Linked DNA regions of Diceros bicornis minor. The protein of the gene in region 1 interacts with the protein of each later gene in a biochemical or structural test. Links are inferred from orthologs where the notes say so. Each region holds a gene or a part of one and is shown on either strand. Other genes may lie near its edges. The genes, in order: CACYBP and S100A6.

Region 1 (11,981 bases):
GGAACATATTCTTTGCAAAGGATCTTAAACTCTGTAGTGCCAGAGTGTTCTCATCTGTGCCATATGTTGCAATTAAAAGTGACACACTGTTGGAAGTAAAAATCAAATAAGAGCCATCTCAGCTCCAGGAGCATGCACTACAAGTTGCTCATGGTGGATCCTTTCCTCTAAAATGATTAATATTTCCTAAAATGAGAAGTCCCCTTCATCAGTGTTTACATCATCTATAACCCATAAAACTGATAGGGTTGTTTGTTATCCTTTGTTACACTCATCAAATAATACTTTTCTTACATAATTCTTTATTATTTTTTTTTTTTTGTCCTGACATCTTTCATCATAACAGTCATTTCCTTTGACCAAAAAGGAAAATAACCCAGCATTCCAAGTGTCTATGTTGACTTGAACATTCCCTCCATGGTAGTTTAGAAAAACTAATCTTTTTTTTTTTCTGTAAAATATAATCGCTAGAAAATTGCATCTTGGTACTTGTTTCTAGAAATCATTTAGTATAATTTGTTAGCTTTACTGGTACTTTATGCTTTGATTCCAAGAAGCCTTGTACAAGTTGCCTTATCAAATGGCCAGCTAAATTAAAGATGTTCTTTTGTGTTTTGTGAATCTCATAGTTCTGTACAGAGCTCTTTTTAACTTTCAAAAATCAGCACATTCCACAGAATGCCTAAGTTGCATAATTTTCCATAAATGGTAGTTGAGGGAGAAATAGAATGGCTCTCAGCTCAGTCCTTACCTGTATACCTGGCTCAATTTCATAGCCTCTTACATTTTTTTTCTTTAAACAAAATCACCAGGTACATACATTCCAAATATTTAATAAATATGTCTTCTGCATTTTCTTTTAATTCTCAAAAGATTATAATGGCAATCTATAGATTTTTTTTTTTCTTCTCCAGTTCCATATCATTGTTGGGTGTGTGTATTGGTACCATAAATCTAAACTGTCCCTCACTGTAATGCCTTTGGGTCAGTAGCAATAGTAAAAGATAGAAAGGAAATTCAAAACTTGGTATATGATATGATTATTTATACAATATGTTATAAGAGCTCTATCCCAAACCACATGTCCTTCACCGTGTGTTTTGAAAATTCGTGCATCCCAGCATTAACTGCTAGTTTTAATTTCACTTATTGCGAAATGTATTTGAGAACTGCTTTTTCTCTTGATTTATTTTAGAAAGAGATCAACAAGCCCAAATATCCAGGAAATTTTCAAATATTCTACAGTGTTTTCCATCTTTTCCTAGGATATGTTGTATAAAACATTCCTCCAAAAATCCAACATTTGCAACATTCTGAAAAGGGATGATTTCTCTTTTCATTAAATTCTGCAGAATAAATTAAGGGAATGAAATTCAATTTGATAATTCAGTTCATTAGCTTTTATATCTTGAGAATCTTGTTTAACACGTTCTTTAAAGCTGAAAGAAACCAGGCTGAATTTTGCAGTGCATATGTTTGCTAGCTTCCCACATCCTGAGCCATGACAATTTGGTTATATTTAGTTACATATCATTTAATGCAAAGAATTCTCAGTTACCTAATGTTCTGTGTATGAATGCCTATCAGAAACACTAACAGGAATGTCACATAGGCCTATGGCCTATCTTTCCGTACAACCAATCTCTTTCTTCGCCTCTCCCAGCTATTAAGTTAGTAATTTTCATGGCTTTCTTAAATTTCCATAGTAAAGTAGAAAACCAATCTTTGCACTGATGTTGGGAAGTTTAATAGCATTTATCTTGTATCTTTTTTTTTCAAATTTTTCATTCTTTTATACTATGTATTAATATTTGTTTTTCTCAAACCCCTACTCCATTTTCCTAAAATATTTTCCAGTTAACTAGTGGCTTCATTTCCTAGCAAAAGTGAGAAAAACAAGAGAATACACAGTTTAGGGCACAAGAGATGAGTCAGATTCTTAAAGGAGTTGATTAGTTACTGAGGATGAGAATCACATATGTAACTAATGTAAGGGATTGAGTTTTCTTTTTCTTTAGCTGAAATCAGTCTACTCTTCTGCTAAAGTTTTTGTCTGATTTCAGGACCCCTTTAAGGGAAAGGAACTTTTTAAAAAAATTAAATATCTTGTTTGTTTTCTCTCTTTGGGAAAGAACACTTTGAATTACTTAGCAAGATGACTCTATTGTATAACTTAGTCTTAAAAAAAAACACACTATAAAATAGCCCTGATTTTTTTGCTTCAATTTCAAGTAAAAGAGAGAATGGAAAAACTCTGTTGTTTGATTTGAACACTATTGGGTGTGTGTGTGTGTGTGTGTGTGTGTGTGTGTGTGTGATTGATAGACTTTTATACAGAGGATCCTTGCCTCTTTTGTATACCCAGGTACCATGCAACTGAATACACACACAGCGATCATATGCAGAAGGCCAGACAACAGCATGGTGGCCTGTTTCCAACTACCAGATATAAAACTCTCTTTCCTCTAGTTGCCATGCTTATGATCACATTGAATTAGAACTGCTCCAAAACATCCTTCCTCTCTCACAGTGGCTTCCATACAATAGATGCAAAGCCCTTTACCTTAGGAATTTCCTTATCTTTCAAAAGTTACCCAAATGAATCCTTTAAGTGTGGGCTGCACCTCAATAGGAGATGACGATCTTGAGTTGTAATGAGAAAAGTGGATGTTTACGAGTAGCTTAGTGACTACAGTCAGCTGTTAGGTGGTGCCTTCTCAGCTTCCGTCTAAAAGACTACCTGTCAAGGTTATCTCCAAATGAGTTTGCTACCCGCTATAAAAACATCTTCATCAACATGTCCCATTCTCCCACCTCCATCCCTGGTTCAGCATTAGTGGTACTTTGAAAACTTTAATCTAAGAAAAAAGAATCATTGAGTAGAACATTTTAGGACATTTTAGGTTACTTTCCTTTTGCATTGGCAATAAGTTAACATGTAAAATCTTTTCCATTAAAATGTAACTTTTAATAACTATATATTATATATGGAATAAACTATAGGAAACTGAATTATAAGGATATAAATGCATCAAGACTCTGGTGTCATGAAAGCACAAGAATAAAGCTGGAGATGGTCCCAGAATCCAAGATGTCCCAATAGCCTTTTGTATCAGTTTCTCTATTTTTGGTATTTTGCATAATGTATGGATCCTTAGTTCAAATGAGGGAAAAAGTTTCTCAGTCAGCCCCACTTCCTTTTCTTCAACTCCTACCTTTCCCTGCCTGAGGAGGTAGTAGAAATTCTGTGCCACCTATTTTTATGAATTCTATGATTTTGTCCACAGCCTCTCTAATGAAAACAGGTTCTAGAATAAAGGAGTTGATTAGCCCAAACTTCGCTAATTGACTACAAAAGAAACAGCAGCATCTCTCCTCTATAAACATTGACCAATTAGATGTTTTCATAATTCCATGTATTATGTATAGTACACTCTGTAAATGTAAATGTAATGCTTGTTAAGAAAAGTGCAATTTATTGTACATTGTCCCAACAAATGTTTACTTTTATAATTGGTATGAACTTGAATTGAATTAGTATCTTGTTTTCATGTGTGAATGAAGCCTTGTGAAATAAACAAATACAACCAAGAAGGTAACAAGGTGGCTGTTTTTGTGAGCCAGTGATGTTTTCAGTGCTTTGTGTTGCCCTTTTGAAAGGCCCCATTAAGCAGTAATAAACATTTGTTCTGAAGTCCATATATGTCTCTCTGATTTTTTTCTAGTTGATTTTATTCTGAATCATCTGAGCCCAGTGTTTATGTAACACTTCTTATCTGATACTAGACTCTAGTCAACTTGGAAAGAAAAAAATAGACAGGTGTTTGCTCCAGGCTATTCCCTGCAAAATGATACCCTGTACATCAGCACTGGAAAGTGCACTAGTTGCCTCTCGACAGAGATTCCCTGGTTGCAAGTAACAGAAACTCTCTCAAGCTAGCTTAATAATAATAAGGCAATTAATTAAAAGGAAATAGGGATATTTATCTCACAGATACTAACGACCAAACACTTGTTCCTGAAGAGGCACTGGACAGGGGACTGGAATGCCATCAGGAGCCCAAGCAACTCTTCTCTTAATTGCTCGTCTGCTTGTCTGGCCAGGTGATGCTTATCTGCTGCTGCTTCTCTCTCTCAAAACAAGTTTTCCCTGCTTCTGAGTGTACAACTTCCAAGTTTACGTATCCTCTCTAAAAGTGATCAGCAGAGATGGACTAGCATCTCAGGGGCCCAATTCCAAAACCTTGCACAAATCTGATTGGCTAATCCTGCATTAGGTGTCTGCTGCTAGTCTTTCAGGGTACAGCACAGTGACAGCATAGAATCAGACAGCACTCCAGAGGCTTCATGGAGCCGGAGGCAGGGCACAGAGAATCCTGATTCACATTTTGTTCTAATTTCCATTTTCTGAGAGTGAATGAAACCTAAGTAAGAGCTAAGAGATTAGTCAGCTCCTCTTAGAATTCAGCATATATTTAAAAAATATTAATCAGATATTCTAAAATTACAGTTGGTGGCCCAAACCCTGACCACAGACAGCTTGTTTTGGCCCATGTGATATTCTAAAGGAGAAATTTTATGTAAAAAGTAAAGGAGTCAAATTATTCAGAAAATATCTACTGAATTTGGCAGTTATGAGGTCATGAGTGGTCTTGACATGAACAGGAAGTGGAACTCACTGCTCACTATTGATTCAAGGTCCTACACTTAGTGAAGTTACATGGTAACCTCCAGATGTTGGTACAGGAGGGATGCAGATTTCTACTTTCCAGTGGAAGAGGTAACTCCAGAGGTCATATGTAGTTTATTACCCTGTAGGACATTAACCAGTTTGTATCTAACTTCACAACCTTACACTAACATTCCATTGTTAAATTGTCTGTAAGTACCCAGCTTTGCAAAGGCACTTTGATAACAGTTTTAACATCTTATTGGTTCCCTCGTTAACTAATGAGGCGAATACAACGTTTGGCTTGGTCTTGGGTGGTAGCAGGGGAGCTTGTGAGAAGTGGTTTGATTTCTAGACATATTTTGAAGGTAAAGCCAGCAAGACTTGCTATACGATGGGAGGTAGGACCTGAGACTGAGACTTATGACTCCTTGGCATGAGCAGTTAACGAGCACGAGCTGACTAGGCACAGAGCTGGAGAAGAATTGGAGGAACTGATTTGGGGTGCGAGGATGAAAAATTGGGAGGAGGAGTTTTTTTTGTTTTTTAGACAAGCTGAATTTCCTCATTCTACATCCAAGCAGAAGCCAAGTCTGGAGCTCAGAAGCATAGTGGAGCTGAAGATATAGATTCAGGAGTCACTGGATAATAAACAGTATTTCATATCTCATGACTTTAGGATATGTGGGGGGAGGAGTTGCCCCAGGTGCATAATCAAGCAAATTTCAAAATCACTGCATTAGGTCAAGCTTTCACACAGTGCAATGGGATATTTGTTCCTATTAAGTACCTAAATAATTCCAAGCTTTCCGGTGGACATTTTTTAAAAAACTGACATATAATATACAATAAAAGCACAGATCTTAGGAGTTCATTCTATGAATTTTGACAACTGTATGTGTGTGTAACATTTCTATCATCTCGGGAAAATTCCCTCCTGGGCCTACTTAAATAACTTGTAGTTAAGCATAACATACAAAAGGAACTACACAAATGTAAGTTTACAGCACAATGAAATTTCTACAAAGTGAACACACCTGTAACCAGCATCCAACTCAAGAAACAGAACATTATCTGAACCTCAAAAGCTCCCTCGCGGCTCCTTTCTATCATGGTCCTCCCCACCCCAGGAAGGACTATCCTGATTTTTAACACTCTAGGCTAGTTTTACTGTTTTTAGACTTCATTTAAATGGAACCAAACGATATGTACTTTTCTATGTCTGGCTTCTTTCCTTGAACGTCATGTTTGTGAGATTCAGGCACGTTGTGTGTGGCTGTAATTTGACTATTTTCGTACTGTACTTCTGATTCCTCTTTACTACGATAACGGTCAGTCTGCATTTTCCTAGTAGCCTTTTTCCTTCTCTGACTTGCTGATCCTACTCGCTATCTTGCGTGACACATAAAGCTGAGTGCAGGCTATCTGACTTCTCAGAGATTACTGTTTATGTTCTCAACCATGTTGCAGAAATCATGAGGCTGCAAAAGGCTAAAATGGTCCGAAAAGTGGGTTTCTCAGGGGCCTTACTAAGCGGGGCTGCTGGAACCAGAAGGGGGGCAGAATGCAGGCCCGGGAAAACTCAACCCACATTTTCTCTGATGCTAACAGGCTCACTTAAAACGAATCCAAACCCGGGTGAGAACCAGAGACTCGCAGAACAGTTGGTCAAGAGGGCGAAGGCACCAGGGAGGGGCTTCGACAGTCACGAGGGAAAGGCGGAAGCACAATAACCGTCGGAGGGCGAGGCGCCTCGTACGGGAAACCTTAACCCTCGGCTGCGACATGGGGTCCGGTCACGTAGCGAACTCAACCCCACCTCCCAGCGCAGCCCTTGATGACGCCGCCACGTCGCAGATGCTAAATCGTGGTGATGTCTCCAGAGCGCCAGAACCCACTGAAAAACCAAAGGAGCCCCCACACTTAACGTCCTCGTTCGTTCCCGTTTTAAAATAAATAGGCTGCCCATGCTCCCCCTTATTTCGTCCTTTCCTCGCAAAGGCTCACAGACTACCCCCAGACAAAAATGCCTGCCTCGTTGGCCCGGTGTCCTAGAGGGGACGGAAGCAGCCGCCTCTCTAGGCAACTTCCGATTTGGACCCCGAAGATCGGTACGTTACTTCCGGGGTGGGGTTAAGGTACGGAAGGCAGTGGTTCCGAGCTGCGACTGCGCAGCCGGGGCAAACGGGGTCAAAGTATTAAACGTTCAGTTCCCGGGGCGGAGAGGAAGAGGCGTTACTCTTCTCGAACTGTCAGTTTGCTCGCGAGAGTTGAGCGTTGCTACGAGGTTCGGCGGGCGGAGCGGGCCAGGCTCGGCTGGGCGGGGCTGAGCTCAGCGGGCGGCGCTCGGGGGGCGGGGAAGCGCGGCGACGGGCTCGCGAAGGTTCCAGAGGCGCCGCGTGCGGGAGGCGGGCCGCGGTCTCGCGCAGGGTCGGGTGTGCGCACAGGCTGCGAGCCCTGCGACTCGTGCCCGCGGTCTGCGCTCGGCGGAGCGCGCTCGGGGCGGCGTTTCCTGCTCTCCCTGGTGCGTCTGCAGCCCCGGCCTCGCGTGACCCAGCCCGGCCATGGCTTCAGCTCCGGAGGAGGTAAGGGGCCGGCCTCGCCTTCCTCCCGGCCCTGCTGCGGCTCTCAGCGCCCCCGCCCGTGCTGAGCTGCCCCGGGGGTCCCCGCGCTTCGCTCGCGCACCTGCAGCGGCGCGTGGTGCCGCCCGGCCCCGCGGGCCTCCGCTTCCCGGGAAAATCGCCGCTCGGCCCCGGCCCGCGCTCAGCGGGCCCTCCGGAGGGTGGGGAACGGGGGTGTGTCGTGAGCCTCGGCGCCGGCGGTGCCGCTGGTGGCCTGGAGCGCGCCGGTCACCGTCGCGTTTTCCTCGGGCCCTTCCGCTCCCGTTATACGGGCCCGAGGACGGAGGGCCTCGTTAAATTAAAGCTGATGGCCAAACCTGGGTGTCGTTGCGTGCTGGGAAGCCCTGGGAAGGTGAGCAGTCTTGGGTCCCAGCACTTGGATTCTCCTCGTGTCTTCTCTACACGGACGACCAGCTCTGTGACTTTGGGCAGGTGACGGTGCTGCGCCGTGCCGCAGGAGTATCCGTTTCCGAGGGTGAGAAGGACGGAGTGCTTGTTGTAAATGTTGAAAACAGTGCTGGGCGCAGAGCAGTCTGCTATATGCGTTTTTAAAAGTAAATACATTGGAAAGTTGTAACTAGCGGTAGGAAATAGTCTTTTTCTCTTTTAAGCTCGATGAACTCTGAACAGGGGCAGCTTAACTTGTTTGCAGACGTAGTTTGCGCGGGTACAAAATGGGAATAATGATTCTTGCGTCGCTCTTCCTGGCCTGAGTAGCCTGTCAATACCTAACACTTATTCACAGTGAAGTGTTGGGTGTGTATTAACTGGATTTGTTTTCTGGAAATTTTTTCCTCAATATGAACAAGCCTGAGAAATCTCAAATAAATCTAAGAAGCTGCCTAAAATGAAGAAAAGGTGTGTATGTGTTTAGTATTATTCTGAATAACTTCCACGAGTTTGTTGTGATAGAGACAGGACTTGGGTTACCATGGGCCCCGAGGAAGAATCTCTGAAGTGACTTGACAGTCATACCTATGGGGAGCTCAGTGTTAATCTTCTTCCAAGTAAGGGACTTTCTCAATTGAGGTACTTAAAAATATACAGTTAGGGACACTTGGGGGGGGAGTGTTTTAGATAAAATTCACTGTAACCATTTTAAAGTGTACAATTTAGTGCTTTTTAGTATATTCATAGTGTTGCACAACCATCACTAACTACAGAATATTTCATTACCCCCAAAAGAAACCTAAGTGTCCATTAAGCAGTCACTCCCCATTTCCCTTCCCCCCGCCCCAGCAAGCACTAATCTACATTCTGTCTCTATGGGTTTGCCTATTCTGGGCACTTCGTATATATGGAGTCTTAGAATATGTGGCCTTTGCTTTTTGCCTTCTTTCACTTAGCATAATGTTTTCAAGTTCATCCATGGTGTGGCATGTATTCCTTTTTATGGCTGAATAATATTCCATCGTATGGATTTAGCACATTTTGTTTATCCATTCATCATTGATGGGCATTTGGATTCTTTCCACTTTTTGGTTATTATGAACAATGCTGCCAGGAATACTTGTGTAGGACTTTTTACGTGAATGTTATGTTTTCAGTTCTCTAAGGTTTATACCTAGGAGTCGAATTGCAGGGGCATATGATAACTAACTCTCAGAAACTGATAAACTCTTTTCCAGATGGCTGCACCATTTTACATTTCTACAAGCAATGTATGAAGGTTCCAATTTCTGCACATGCTTGTCAACACTTATTATTTTCTGGGATTTTGTATTTTGTTGTTGACGTTAGCCATCCTGGTGAGTGTGAAGTGGTAGCTCACTGTGGTTTTGATGTACATTTCCTTAATGACTACTAATGTTGAGTATCTTTTCATGTGCTTGCTGGCCATTGTATGTATCTTTGGAGAAATGTCTAAGACCTTTGCCCATTTCAGAGCACTTTGGTTTTAATGCCTTCTAGTGAAGAATTTGTAAATAGATTAGACGATAAAGCTTGAATGTTTGTGGAAAGGGAAATGCAGTTTGCATAAGGAAAACAGATGAATGCCAAGATCAGTTAGATGAGAAACTGCTGTAGCTAAGAGCTCTTAAAGTGTGTGTGCAGGAAAAGCACCAGAGGGATCGCTCTTACTGGTTTCAGGTCTGCCAGTAACAGAACAGAGGAGTTACCTGAACCAGGCCTGCTGTAAGACCTCGCTGGTGTACTACTTCAGAGCCAAAACTGGCCAGAAAGGGGGCCTGGGAATCTCGTGCTTCATTCTGAGTTCTTTTCTGAATCTCCAACAGAAAGGATTCCTGTTCTAGTCAAGAAGTAAAACGCCTTGTTTAGACTTGATACATTTTCCTTTCTTTTCTTTTTTTAACTCTAGGAACAGGTATACTCATTTTACATTTCATTACTTTTATCATGTTGGTATTAGAATCAATGTGAATTTTTTAAAACCATTATAATAAAAAAGATTGCTTTGAACTAAAGCATCTTGGTTCTATGCTCAAAAGATGAGTTTGTAATTATTTTCGTCTTAGTAATATGATTTTGGGGGAGGGCGTAGAGTATGGACAGTAGACTGGGCCCAGTTGGATTCTGTACTATGTTATCAGTTGCAGACAGGTGAAACAGGGCATCTCAGTTAAATGAGATAATATAAGGCTTGGGTAAAAGAAAAGCATTCGTTTTTCTGTTACTGCATTTTATAAGACTATTAAGAAACAAAGGCCCGGCCCCGTGGCTTAGCGGTTAAGTGCTCGAGATCCACTGCTGGCGGCCCGGGTTCGGATCCCGGGCGTGCACTGAGGCACCGCTTCTCCAGCCATGCTGAGGCCGCGTCCCACATACAGCAACTAGAAGGATGTGCAGCTATGACATACAACTATCTACTGGGGCTTTGGGGGGAAAATAAATAAATAAATAAATTGTTAAAAACAAAAAAAAAAGAAACAAAGACTTTCAAACTCAGTGTTTAGGATATTATACTGAGTTATCAAGCATTTGAAGATTTTTATATTGAGCCTTTCGTGTGATCTCAGGCTGTGATGTAAGAGTCTTCCTGTCAGATTGCTAGTATCAAGCCAGAATGTAAAGTTATTTTAAGAAAAAGGAATACCTTGTTTATAAAGATCTTATGCATTTTGCAGTATGACAGGATAACTGGGAAAACATTTTTAAGACCATTAATTTTCTCACAGTCTCTCTAACTCTTGAACTTCATAAAATGTTGGCTCTATTGCTAGAAAATAGAAACAAATTTTGGGAGGCCATGTATTGGTATGAGAAGAAAAGGGCAGGTGCGTTTTCAGTGATCCAGGAGGGTATCGCATATCGGAGTGTTTGCCCAGGTTTTTCCCTCCATTGTGCAACCACGTCCCGGACTTCTGACTGGAAGATGAACCTGAACCTTCAAAAACAAGATTTTTTGAAAGCAGGAATATGTCTTTATTTTTTTCATCTTGTCTTAAAAAATTCGAACTTTTTGTGTGTAATCTCTGGGTAGGAAGATCAGTGAGGACCAGTCACTGACAGCAGGTGGAGGGTTACCTCAGGCGAGTTGCCGTGGCATTTCCCCACACTCGTCATGTAGTCACGCATCTTTTTTATTTTAATATTTTAAAAACTCCCAATACCTGATGACTAGGACTTGATGTTACAAGGAAATTCATGAACTCTTTTTTGTTTTTTTTAAGATTTCTTTATTCTAGTTTATAAATCACAAAAGTATCTTGTAAATAAAATGTTCTAAAACAAAGGCAGATAACAGTCTACTAAACTGGAAAATTTAGGTTTGATTACGTACTGTTACTTCAAGATTAAGTTTTCCTTTAAGAAAAAAAAAAAAGGAGGGGCCGGCCCCGTGGCTTAGCGGTTAAGTGCTCACGCTCCGCTGCTGGCGGCCTGGGTTTGGATCCCGGGCGTGCACCGACGCACTGCTTCTCCGGCCATGCTGAGGCCGCGTCCCACATACAGCAACTAGAAGGATGTGCAGCTATGACCTACAACTATCTACTGGGGCTTTGTGGGGGAAAAAAAAAAGGAGGATTGGCAATAGATGTTAGCTCAGAGCCGGTCTTCCTCAGCAAAAAAAAGAGGAGGATTAGCACGGATGTTAGCTCGAGGGCTGATCCTCCTCACAAGAAAAAAAAAAGAAAAAAGAAAAAAAAGGAAGCTTGAGTTATTTACAATTCAGTAGGCTGGAGGAAAGAATCCAAGGTATAACCCAACTCTAGAAAATTTAAATGAACCTCTTAATTCTTAGCTCTTATTTCAGTAAATTGAAATAAGCAGTAGGTACAATATCAAACTATTACCTTCTTTATCATAGCTAACTTATCTTTTATTTTAATACAGCTACAGAAAGATCTAGAAGAGGTGAAGGTGCTACTGGAAAAAGCCACTAGAAAAAGGGTACGTGATGCCCTTACAGCTGAAAAATCCAAGATTGAGACAGAAATCAAAAACAAGATGCAGCAGAAATCACCGAGGAAAGCAGAACTTCTTGACAATGAAAAGCCAGCTGCTGTGGTTGCTCCCATTACAACGGGCTATACCGTGAAAATCAGTAATTACGGTATGACTTGCTCCCCTAAAATCCAATTCTTTCTGCCTGCAGGCAACATAATTCCTCAGTAGTGACCCACTAATAAACTTAATTTTTAAAATAGTTTTGAGTGTGTGTTTTGGTGGTTTGAAAGAGGCCCCATCAATTCTTATTTAATAAGATACTTTTTAAGAGATGAAAAAGGAAA
Region 2 (10,437 bases), about 34 Mb from region 1:
CTAGTTTCAGAGGAGTGGGGTGGGTGACTCAGATGTTCCTCCAGAGTGTGACTGCAGAGACTTGGGTAGAATTTTGGTCCAGGAAAAAGTTTGCCTCCCCGCCCCCCAGCGCCCTACTCTGCCCATCTTCCATGGGAGTGCCCTCCCCTGAGCCTCCTCCTGCATCACTCTCTACTTTGGAAACTCCTGTTGCTTAGTGACCAGTCCCTGCTGCCTCTCTAGCCTTGCCAACTGCTGGTGGGAGTGGAATGGAGGCTAGGGGGAGGACCCAGGCAGGCAAGGCAGGGTTGCAGCAGTGATAGATGCTAAGCCTCTAACTTGCTTCAGCTCTCATACGTGGACTGGTTGGTGGTAGAACAAAGTCTGAGTCTCTCCTGGGATACAGGCAACTCTCCCTGACCCTACCCCATTCATCACTGCACCCTGGACCTGCTCCCTGCAATCCACAACCTCTACCCCATCACCAGCCCTACCCTTCCCTGGATCCCCTCTCCAATCCCTAATTCTCACTCCTCTATTTCAAGAGTCTCTGACAATTGTCTCCCATGAAGATGAGTGAGATTTAGAAAAAATTGCTCATTTAAAAGCCCTTTAAAACCCTTAGGCTCCGGGGTCGGCCCCGTGGCTTAGTGGTTAAGTGCATGTGCTCCGCTACTGGCGACCAGGGTTTGGATCCCGGCTCTGCACCAACACACCGCTTGTCCTGCCATGCTGAGGCAGCGTCCCACATACGGCAACTAGAAGAATGTGCAACTATGACATACAACTATCTACTGGGGCTTTGGGGAGAAAAAAGGAAAAAAAGGAGGAGGATTGGCAATAGATGTTAGCTCAGGGCCGGTCTTCCTCAGCAAAAAGAGGAGGATTGGCATTTATGTTAGCTCAGGGCTGATCTTCCTCAAAAAAAAAAACAAAAACCTTAGGCTCCATTCTAGCTAATGACCCTGACCACGCCCTTGGCAGGAAACGTCTTCCCCCATTGATTCTCATCTCGAGGTGTGTGTGCTCCGCTCCTGCTGTGAGTGGGAGGGCTCCAGTGTGGAGAGCGGCCCAGGGCATGGGGAGCTACCCTGCATTTGGCCCACACTTCCTGGGTCTTCTTCCAGGACAGCCTACAGTCTCCTTCTCTAGCCTGCGCTCTCCTCCTCACTCATACTGTGAGCTCTGATTTTTGGTTGGGAAGACAAAGTTTCTGGGACCGAAGACGTGTGTGCCATGGTGAACTCAGTGTGCCCCCATCCTTGCATTTGGAAACAAGGAAGGTGAGATTGGTGGAGGGGGTTTCTCCCCAGCTGCATCCCAAGAGGCTCTGACTTGGGCCTCCTCAAGTCCCTGGCCCCTTCTCATTGGCCCTTTCCCTGCCCTGGTTTCCTGGGGACAGGAGCAATGGAACAAAGACAGAGAGCAGTGGGAGGGAGCCTGTTTCCGCTGCGTGGTTCTCCGGCTTACTCTTTCCTTGGTGAGTCCGTCCTTCTGATCTCCCTGCTCATCTATACGGTGGGGCAAGCTGGGTGATGAGACCAGAGGGTGACAAGATGTGGTGACCTCCACCAAGGAAGGCCTAGTCTGATGAACAGGCATGTGCTCAGGGAGGAGAGGGCAAGTATTTGGAATTGTGGCTATCAAAATTTCCTGAGAAGTGGATCTGGGGGTGGAGGTGGGCATCAGAACCAGCCAGGATGCTCCTGCAGCTACCTAGAGGTGCTTGCCTTCAACTGTGGTCCTGGCTGAGCCTCCTGGAGATGGGGAGAAGCCGAGGTTTGTGGGTGGTGGGAGATGAATGACAAGTCCAGTTCGAGAATTGTGAGGTGGGCTTTTGGCTGAAGGGAAGAGCCAGCAGCTTCTTCCTCCTTGCCCAAGACTCTACAGAGATTTACCTGCAGCCCCCAAGTCCCCTGGGTGTTGCCTCTTTCCTTCCTAAGGGGGAAGTGGTTTTCAAGTCTGAGTCACAGGAGCTCCAGCTGCTTCTTCCCTTCCGTGGGTGCAGCTGTGCTGATGGCCTGGAGGGCTCCATTCAAACCCAACCTCTAGATCCAGCTCTCAGAATGATCCTGGAGATTTCAACAGGCCCACCCTACTTGCTGCCTTGTGGCCAGTCTGAATGTGCAGTTCTCTGGGCTGGAGACTGAAGACCAGCTGGACAAGTCCAATCACTTCTCCCCAGTTTCCTGTCGAGACCCTATCTCCCAGTTCTAGCCCCAGCCCCCTCCCACCCCTGGACTCTCCCTGTGCCCTGTCCCCTACTTCTATAATGGGACACTTCCCAATATCAGATGATTCAGGCACCCGGGCCAAGGAGGGTGACTATGGTGAGGACTGTCTCTGGAAAACGAATGCCCAAGCTGGATGGGGCAGGGAGAAATCCTTACCCTTTATCTGCTCCACATCCGCCACCAGTTCTTCTTTTGGGGAGGTCATCCTATCATCCCTCTGCCCCTAGACCCCTTTTTCAATGTCTCCTAAGCAGGAGAGTGTGCAGTCTCCTGCGGGGCTGGTCAGTCTCACTGCTCTGGCTGTTCCAAGTTTGCCTTGAGTCTCATTCCAACCCATGCTGACACATTTGAGTCCACTCGTTGGTGGATTTTGGTCTTGTTATGGGTTCCAGTCTCTGGTCCTTGAGGGAAGGGCTTGGAGGTGGGCTAGTGATGGGGGGAGGAGAAGGTCTGTCTTTGCTGGGCCATGCGATTGTTTCCTTTCACTTCACCCTTCAGAGCCACATACCGTGATGGAGACTCCTCTTGAGAAGGCCCTGACCACTATGGTAACCACTTTCCACAAATATTCTGGGAGAGAGGGCAGCAAACTGACACTTAGTAGGAAGGAACTAAAGGAGCTGATCAAGAAGGAGCTGTGTCTTGGTGAGGTAGGTGACTGTCCCCCCCTTCCAAAGTCCAAGTGCTCCCTGTGGGTACCATGGAGGGTAGAACACCATGGACAGGGGCTCCCTAGTGTGAGGTGGGAGGCCCAGCTCTGCCTCCATAGACATCCAGCGTGAGGTGACACACACCTGCCCTCAATGTGCCATAATCTCAGCCAGGAGCAGGTTGGCCAAAAGGTACAGAGACCGAAGGAAGAGGGTGAGCATCTTGGGCCAACAGAGCTCTAGACCTCTGTGCTGGGGGTGAGTCAGGTTTCACTGCAAGGAGGAAGGGTGGCGTCTGGAGGGTGGACTACAGGCTGGGTGAGAGTTTAGAGAAGGAGATCAAGGAAGCTTCTATGTTGAGGCTAGGCCTGTGCAGCCATGGCGGAACCTGTGTGAGGGATCGTGGGGGATGAGGGGACCCAGGTGGTCCAGGTCAAGCTGTGCACAGCTCAAGGGCAGGGCCCCCACCTGATTCCCCTCCGTGTGCCTAGCACATCCAGGGCTCTCAGCTGGTGCTGACACAGAACAAAAAGGATCGTTCTGCTAGTTCGTGAGCACAAGGTTGGAAGGAGACCGAATTGATTCTTACCAGATGGAGATGGTGGGAGGGAGGTGACCGACAGAGGGGAAGGCCTATGAAGTAGTCATGATATTACTTTTACAATTAAAAAACAATCGAGGCTTAGATACATTATATAACTTGTCCAAAGATACCAGCTACTGCCAGGCTGAGCTGGAATCCCAGGCCAGGCCTGCGTTCACCTTCCCTTTTTCCTTTAAAATTCAGCATGGGGGGGACCTCTTCTGTCATATCCTGAACTCTGGTGGGCCTCCCCACAGAGAAGCTCCCTTGAGTTGCCCCTGTGGGCAGGGGAGAAGCAGGCGTGGGTGTCACCAGGCTTGCCCTCTGGCCTTCCTGCCAGGCTCTCTTCATCCTGGAGTTAATGAGGGCAGAAGGAGGAGCCATGGGCTGGCAGGGGTTAATTACAGGGGAACAGAGGCCCCGGGGACGGCCTGGCTATAATAGGAGCCCAGACTGGGGACAAAGATCACGTCACAGAGAGGCTGTTTCCATCTCTGTATGTCCCAATGTCCTGTCTCCTGTGGAAAAGCTGGAGCTGAGGGCCCTGAAGAGGGGAGGGCAGGACGTGTCTGTATTTTCTTCCTGTTCCACCAGAAGGCCCTGTCCCCATCCTCCTGGTGGAGCTGGGCTGGGAGGGCAGGGGACCAGATGGCGAGTAAGACTGGGTGCCAGGCACTCCTTTCCATTCCCCTGTCCTGTGAGCTCTCCTAGTGAGGGAGGACACAGTGGCTTCTCAGCTCCAGGACACTGCTCTCCTAGAGAGACATGTTGTCTGGGTCAGTTCTCAACTCTCCCCTACAGGGACAGAAGGAGTCGGAGATGTGGGTCATGCTTAGTGCCACATAACCACCAACCCGTGGCTGTTAGGTGTTGTATAAAATCTAGATTATTATTTCTTTGGATGGTGCAAAGTGTTGAGAGGAAGGGAGGCTGGACTAGCCTTCCTGTTGTAATTTATTTACATTCAGAATCAGGTCGCTGAGCCTGTGCTTGGTGCCAGGCTCTGTGCTGGGCATGGGCTGAGGGCAGACTCAGGGGGTCGAGATGCTCAGAGTGTTGCTGATTCAGCTGGGGACCACCCTGAGACTGCCTTCCCAGGGGACGGGTGGCACCATGCGGTGGTGGGGCAGGGCCAGGAGGGGTGGCTGACCTGTCCCTCTACCTGGGGCCTCGAAGAAGATGAAGGAGAGCAGCATTGATGACCTGATGAAGAGCCTGGACAAAAACAGTGACCAGGAAATCGACTTCAAGGAGTATTCAGTGTTCCTGACCACACTGTGCATGGCCTATAATGACTTCTTCCTGGAGGACAACGAATGACCGGGCTCAGCTCCTTGCCCCAGCCTCTGCGGCTCCTCTCACAGACCCTCTGTGGCCCCTTGCCCTCCTCTCCCTCCCAGATGGAACCTGCTTCAGCCTTCCCTTCCAGCAGAGGAAATAAAGATTTTCCATTCCAGGTGTCTGGAGGCTGGTTTTGAAGACGTCTTGTCCACCTTGACTGAGAGGTAGGGTGGGGCAAGGCAGAGCTTCTCCTTGAGTGGGTTGAGAGCCTCTGGGTGTTAGGGTCCTGGGCTTTCACTCCACTTCATGTCCTTCAGTGTGGACATCACTAAGCTTACCTAGGCTTAGTTTTGCCATTCTGGAAAACGGGGAGATTGGGCCAAGCTTTTGCTTGCCTCCCAGGAATGTTGCAAAGATGCAGAGAAAGCTAAGGGGGAAAGTGCTTTGAGAGAGAGGACACTGAGGGCAGTGTGGACAAGCCAGTCTGACTTGTCACCGGCTTACAGAAGGTCACATGCACCACTGGTATGAAGGGGAAGTCTGGCGTTTGGTTACAGGCCAGTCTCCCTTCCGTCTCCTCCACCCCGCCCCAACCCACCCCAGTCATCTCTGGGGTCCAGTGATTTTTGCTCTCCCCACCTCTCCCTATCAGAATCCTTTCTCAGGAGAGGACCTGAAAAACCTTTTCATTAGAGGGTAAATAATGAATGATGCTAACAGGGCTTGGCTCAGGTGTGTGTGCACATTAGTGGGCAAGAGGCTCCGGGTGGAATTCCAGGCAGGGGGGGAAGGGAGAGGGGGTGGTGGTAGGAATTTATTTTTGCTGGGCGATGGGTGTCCTAGATGTCCTTTAAATCATATCCTGTAGACCACTGGCTGCTCCCCTCCTTCATCTAGGGTTGACCCTGAACACCCTCTGGGGGCACCCTTCTCCATTCCCACCCCCCCAATAACCCCCCTTCTCCCCAGCCGCTCTAGCCGTCTACCTTCTCCCCACGCCGTGTCACGTGTCACGATGGTGGGCAAACCGAGCTATGGAGATTAAGGGGAGCTCCAGGTCACTGGGCTTGCAGTGGTCTCCGCTAGGGCCCCCCACCCCCTGGAATGTGGAACAGCCCCCGCGGCAGGAGGCGTGGAAAGTTGAGAGGGGCCGGGGGTGTGTGTGTTGTGTAAATCACGGGCGCGGGGTGGGGCGCGGGGCGGGCCCTGGGCGGGTTGGGTGGACGCACGGCCGCTATAAGGCGGCCGGGCCGGCTACAGAGTTCGTCACCGCGGACCGCTCCCTTCACGCTTCCTTGCAGCCCCGCGGTGAGTTCTCGCCGGCGCAGCGCCGGCGTCCTCGGCCTAGTCTGGCCTAAGTCTAGCCGCCCGCCGCCCCAGTCGGGCCGTTGCGGACTCCGCGGGCGGGACCGGCGCCCGGATCCCGAGTGCGGCCGTCTGTGGAGCTCCTGGGCCGGCGGGGAGGGTCAGAAGCGGCGGGCTGGCCCCGGGCTAGGCATGCGGTGGGGCGGCTCCCCGCGCTCTTCTGGGGTGCGGGAGGGTGTGTCCTGGGACTGTCAGCGCCGCAGTGTGGCCTTGTGAGGCTGTGTGTGTAGGGCTGGGTGTGCTGCCCCTACCTCCCCGCCCCCCATGCTGCCTATGCTCCCCAACTTCTTCTGGAACCCCTGGGGTTCTCAGCTGTGGCCCTGTTTGCTCTTTAGAATCCTTATCTCCTCTGGCCCCCCCTCGAGCTGCTGATCTCGAACCTAGAGTCTGTCCTCTCCCTCCCCTTCAAGCCCTGGGCTATCTCCTGAGGCCACCTGTATGTGCCTGAGGCTGGGTGGTTCAGGCAGGGTACTCAAAGGGAGTGGGGGGAGTGGGGGACAGAACTCTTGGGGGTTGGGTGAGTGAGAAGGCCCTGCTGCCCAGGGCACTGACGAGCCCCTCTGCCCCCAGCTCTGAGTCCAGCCCTCAGCCATGGCGTGCCCCCTGGATCAGGCCATTAGCCTCCTCGTCGCCATCTTCCACAAGTACTCCAGCAGGGATGGTGACAAGAACACCCTGAGCAAGAGTGAGCTGAAGGAGCTGATCCAGAAGGAGCTCACCATTGGCCCTGTGAGTGAGCCTCCCCAAGCCCTTCTTCCCTCCTCTGGCCCTGCAGAAGCAGGATTAGGAGAGGGGGACGTGCCAGGGGCATCTGACTCACATTTATCTAACTTCTGGGGCCCTTCTCCACATGCCTCACTGAGCCCATTGGTCCACTCCCTTGAGGGGGTGGGGGATACTCTCAGCCTGGTATTCACTCCCCCTGAGCAAGGAGCAGGAGCAGAGGGGAAGTGAAGCCAAGTGAACCCAAGGTGGGCAAGTGAGCACAGGGCCACTTGTCTGAGAGAGGGCTGCCTGGGAGGGGGAAGGGAGAGGACCCAGGGTTCTCATCACCACTCAGTCTGGATTTCCCATTCTAACGCATTAGGAGCTGCAGGACGCGGAAGTTGCAAAGCTGTTGGACGACCTGGACCAGAACAAGGACCAGGTGGTGAACTTCCAGGAATATGTCACCTTCCTGGGGGCTTTGGCGATGATATACAATGAAGTCCTTAAGGGCTGAAAATAAATTGGGAAGGTGGAGACACACTCTCGAGGGCCTGTCTGAGTCAAATCCAGTGGTTGTTAATTGTACAATAAATATTTTCTTTTGGTCAAATCTACGCCTGTGTCCTGGCTTCCCGGTGATTTCTGTTTTCTCCTTCTTGCACTAGCACCACCCTGCACCAGGGTTTGTTCACAGTCACCTCTGGGAGTGACTCAGCGACTCACCAGGCCGGGGTGGGGGGTGCGGGGGGGTGGGGTGTGTGGTGCGGGGTGGGGAGCCGTGGGGAGTGTGTTGAGAAGCTAGAGCTGGTGTATTGATTTAAGAATATGCAGATTATGATCTGCTGACTGAGGAGGCACAAGCCACCCACAAGGGAGCAGCAGGTAGCTCCCTCAGCATCCTAAGTCTCACTTTGGGGAGGTGAAACCCACAGGGGTCGTTTTGATTGAAGGCACAGTTTCAATACATCTACACAAAGGAAGTGGAGTCTACTACTACTTACAGATGCCAGAAGCGAGGGGGTGCCATGAGCCGGGGGAAGGGCAGTCCTCTGTCCCAGGTCACAAGCCAGCCTGAGATAGAGAGCAGGGTAGCAAGCACCTATTACGTATAACGTGAATAATGGGGCAGAGGTCACTAACTTTTTGAGGGCTTCACTCTAAGTGGTTATTTTAAAAGGTGCTCTGGGGGCTGGGCCGGTGGTGTAGTGGTTAAGTTCGCGCGCTCTGCTTCAGCGGCCCGGGTCCACAGGTTTGGATCCTGGGCCCAGATTTACACATTGCTCATCAAGCCATGCTGTGGTGGCATCTCTTATACAAAATAGAGGAAGATGGGCACAGATGTTAGCTCAGGGCCAATCTTCCTCACCAAAAAAAAAAAAAAAGGTGCTCTGGGAAAAGTAAAGCAAGAACTTACGGCAGGAATCCTAAGCTCAAGTCCTTATCTAAAAGATGTGAGCAGGGTTATCCTACTGTGAAATGCTGAGGCAGCATCTCTGGAAAACAAAGTTGTTTTTCTCCTCACAGAGGGTCCACACGATGGTGGACTCACCCTGACAAGGCCTCTGCTGGCTCATAAGGTGCCTTAGAAAAGATGGCCCCTCCGGACAAAGTCGTCTTAAGGGAAGGCTCGAGTGGTCCCCGGTAGAGAGGGTTCTGGGATGGACTTGGAGAAGAAAATCGTGCCTGAGCCAGGCTGTGATGGGTCCAGAGTGGGGCGGAGATAGTCCTAGGGGGGTTCCTGAAGATGAAGACATGTTTTAACTTTGGGTGTGATGGGAGGGGAAGGATGGAAGGGCCATGGGGCGAGGCTGGTCCACTTTCTCATCACAGTGAAGTGTGGGCAGAGAGGGCACAGCCGGCATGCCCAAAGCCTGGGGGGGAGCATTCTGTCTGAGACCACCGAGGATGCTGTGTGGCTGGTTCACTGTGCTGCCTGGGCCCCAGTCGAAGGCAGGAGGCACGCTTTAGGAGTCTGTCCCTGCATTCAGGGACAGGGTCCTTTGCGTTGAGGGATGTGGTCTGAAGAGCTGGCAGCTGCACGAACACATGAATCATGGGGTGCTCATGAATGGGGCCGGGTGGGGGTCTCTGGGGCTGGGCCCACCACAGCTTCAAGCCTTTCAGTCAATATTGAACCAGCCCATCCCTGCATCCTTAGCAGAATGAATCACCCCAGTTATCCCATTAGAGCCAAGACTGGCTCTCAGTCCCCATTCGGGAAGATGACTAATTGTCTGAATTATTGTCTGAGTCCATTGTTTGCATTAATGTTTTCAGACAGGGAGGGTGGGCGGCAAGGGGGTAAACTGTGTCTCAGGGTGATGGGGCATCTGTCCCAGTTCTCTCCCCTCCAGGCCTAGTCTGAGCCAGGCAGGTTCTTCTGTAGGGACCTCAGAGGGAGATCATATCCTCTTTCCCCTCTTACTCACCTCCTCTCTTCCCTGAGGGCCCAACTGTGCGGAATTAAGTCATCTTCTTCCTCCATGGGGTGGGGATGACTGAACAGTCCCCAGGGGGCTGGAAGCATCACCTTTGGAGTTCCTCCTTCTCTAGTTGCCTCCCCTGCCCCACAGGGCATAGGAACTGGCACTGTCGTGAAGCAGGAAGGGACCCAGGGCCTAAGCTCCCGGCCTGCACAGCCATGTCCAAGCCTTGGCTCCATTCAACTCCTGCGGGAAATGTACCTTCCCGGCCTGCAGTGGCCGGCAGTTTGGGGTGTGGAGTGAGCCGGTGTGTGGGCAGAGAGCAGGAAGCTGTGGGGAGAGTCTGGGTTGGTTTTCTCGAATCCCAGGGAAGAAGCCAACGGTGGTGGTACCAGAGCCCTGGCCATCAGGGAGCCCTTCCTCTGAAGAGGGAGACAGGACTTGGATGCCCAGGGAATGTCAGCAGGGGGACCTTTTGGCTCTGAGCAATCAACCCCCCAAAAACGAACTCAACTTCATCTAAGACACACCTACCGTGAGCAAGTCAATGAAGGGAAGGGGTTTGCAAAGACAAATAGAATCTGAACCCTGCCTCTCCCCTCCCCCACCTTCAGGGGCGAGAAGACCTTGGTACAAAAGAGGGAGGAGGAGTCGTTTCAGTGGGTGAAGATCGGCTGCCGCTGGGAGGGGCTGCTCAGGCAAGGCAGTCAACCCAACGCTTCCCGGGAGCTCTGGTGGGTGCGCAGGCCAGGATGTTGAAGAGGATCAACAAACGTTCTCAGTCCACCTGCTAAGTAAACAGGTGTGTCTTTCAGCTTCTGTTTCTCCACAGCAGCGAGGGGAACAGGAACATGGATGTAAAAAATAAAACAAAAACGGGGCGGGCCAGGTGGCTTAGCGGTTAAATTCACGCACTCCGGTTTGACGGCCCCCGGTTCCCGGGTTTGGATCAGGGGCATGGACTTGCGCACCGCTCATTAAGCCATGCTGTGGCAGGTGTCCCACATAAAATACAGGGAGATGGGCACGGATGTTCGCTTAGGGCCAATCTTCCTCAGCAAAAAGAGGAAGATTGGCAACAGGTGTTAACTCAGGGCTAATCCTCCTCACCAAAAAAAACCCAAATAGCAAATCATTTGTTTACTTTGAGGGTATGATTTTTAAGGCTTTTTTTAGGGGGGAGCAGTGGAAAGAAGCAGCATTTGCAATGGAAT

Evidence for each region.
Region 2: the proteins of CACYBP (region 1) and S100A6 are reported together in a solved structure, tested with the Homo sapiens proteins (2 studies listed by BioGRID and IntAct, with this or other methods). The link is inferred for Diceros bicornis minor from reciprocal best matches to the Homo sapiens genes CACYBP and S100A6.

Annotation. Positions count from the first base shown.
Region 1 is NC_080743.1:91,511,747-91,523,727, reverse strand, and holds the start of CACYBP (calcyclin-binding protein), read left to right. Parts: upstream 1-7,087; 5' UTR 7,088-7,233; coding exon 7,234-7,254; intron 7,255-8,099; exon of another isoform or gene 8,100-8,148; intron 8,149-11,583; coding exon 11,584-11,803; intron 11,804-11,981. UniProt on the Homo sapiens protein: May be involved in calcium-dependent ubiquitination and subsequent proteasomal degradation of target proteins. Probably serves as a molecular bridge in ubiquitin E3 complexes. Participates in the ubiquitin-mediated degradation of beta-catenin (CTNNB1).
Region 2 is NC_080743.1:57,773,967-57,784,403, reverse strand, and holds S100A6 (protein S100-A6), read left to right. Parts: upstream 1-5,943; 5' UTR 5,944-6,035; intron 6,036-6,662; 5' UTR 6,663-6,683; coding exon 6,684-6,821; intron 6,822-7,179; coding exon 7,180-7,314; 3' UTR 7,315-7,414; downstream 7,415-10,437. Other genes in the region: S100A5 (protein S100-A5), read left to right, coding at 2,726-2,863, 4,623-4,766. UniProt on the Homo sapiens protein: May function as calcium sensor and modulator, contributing to cellular calcium signaling.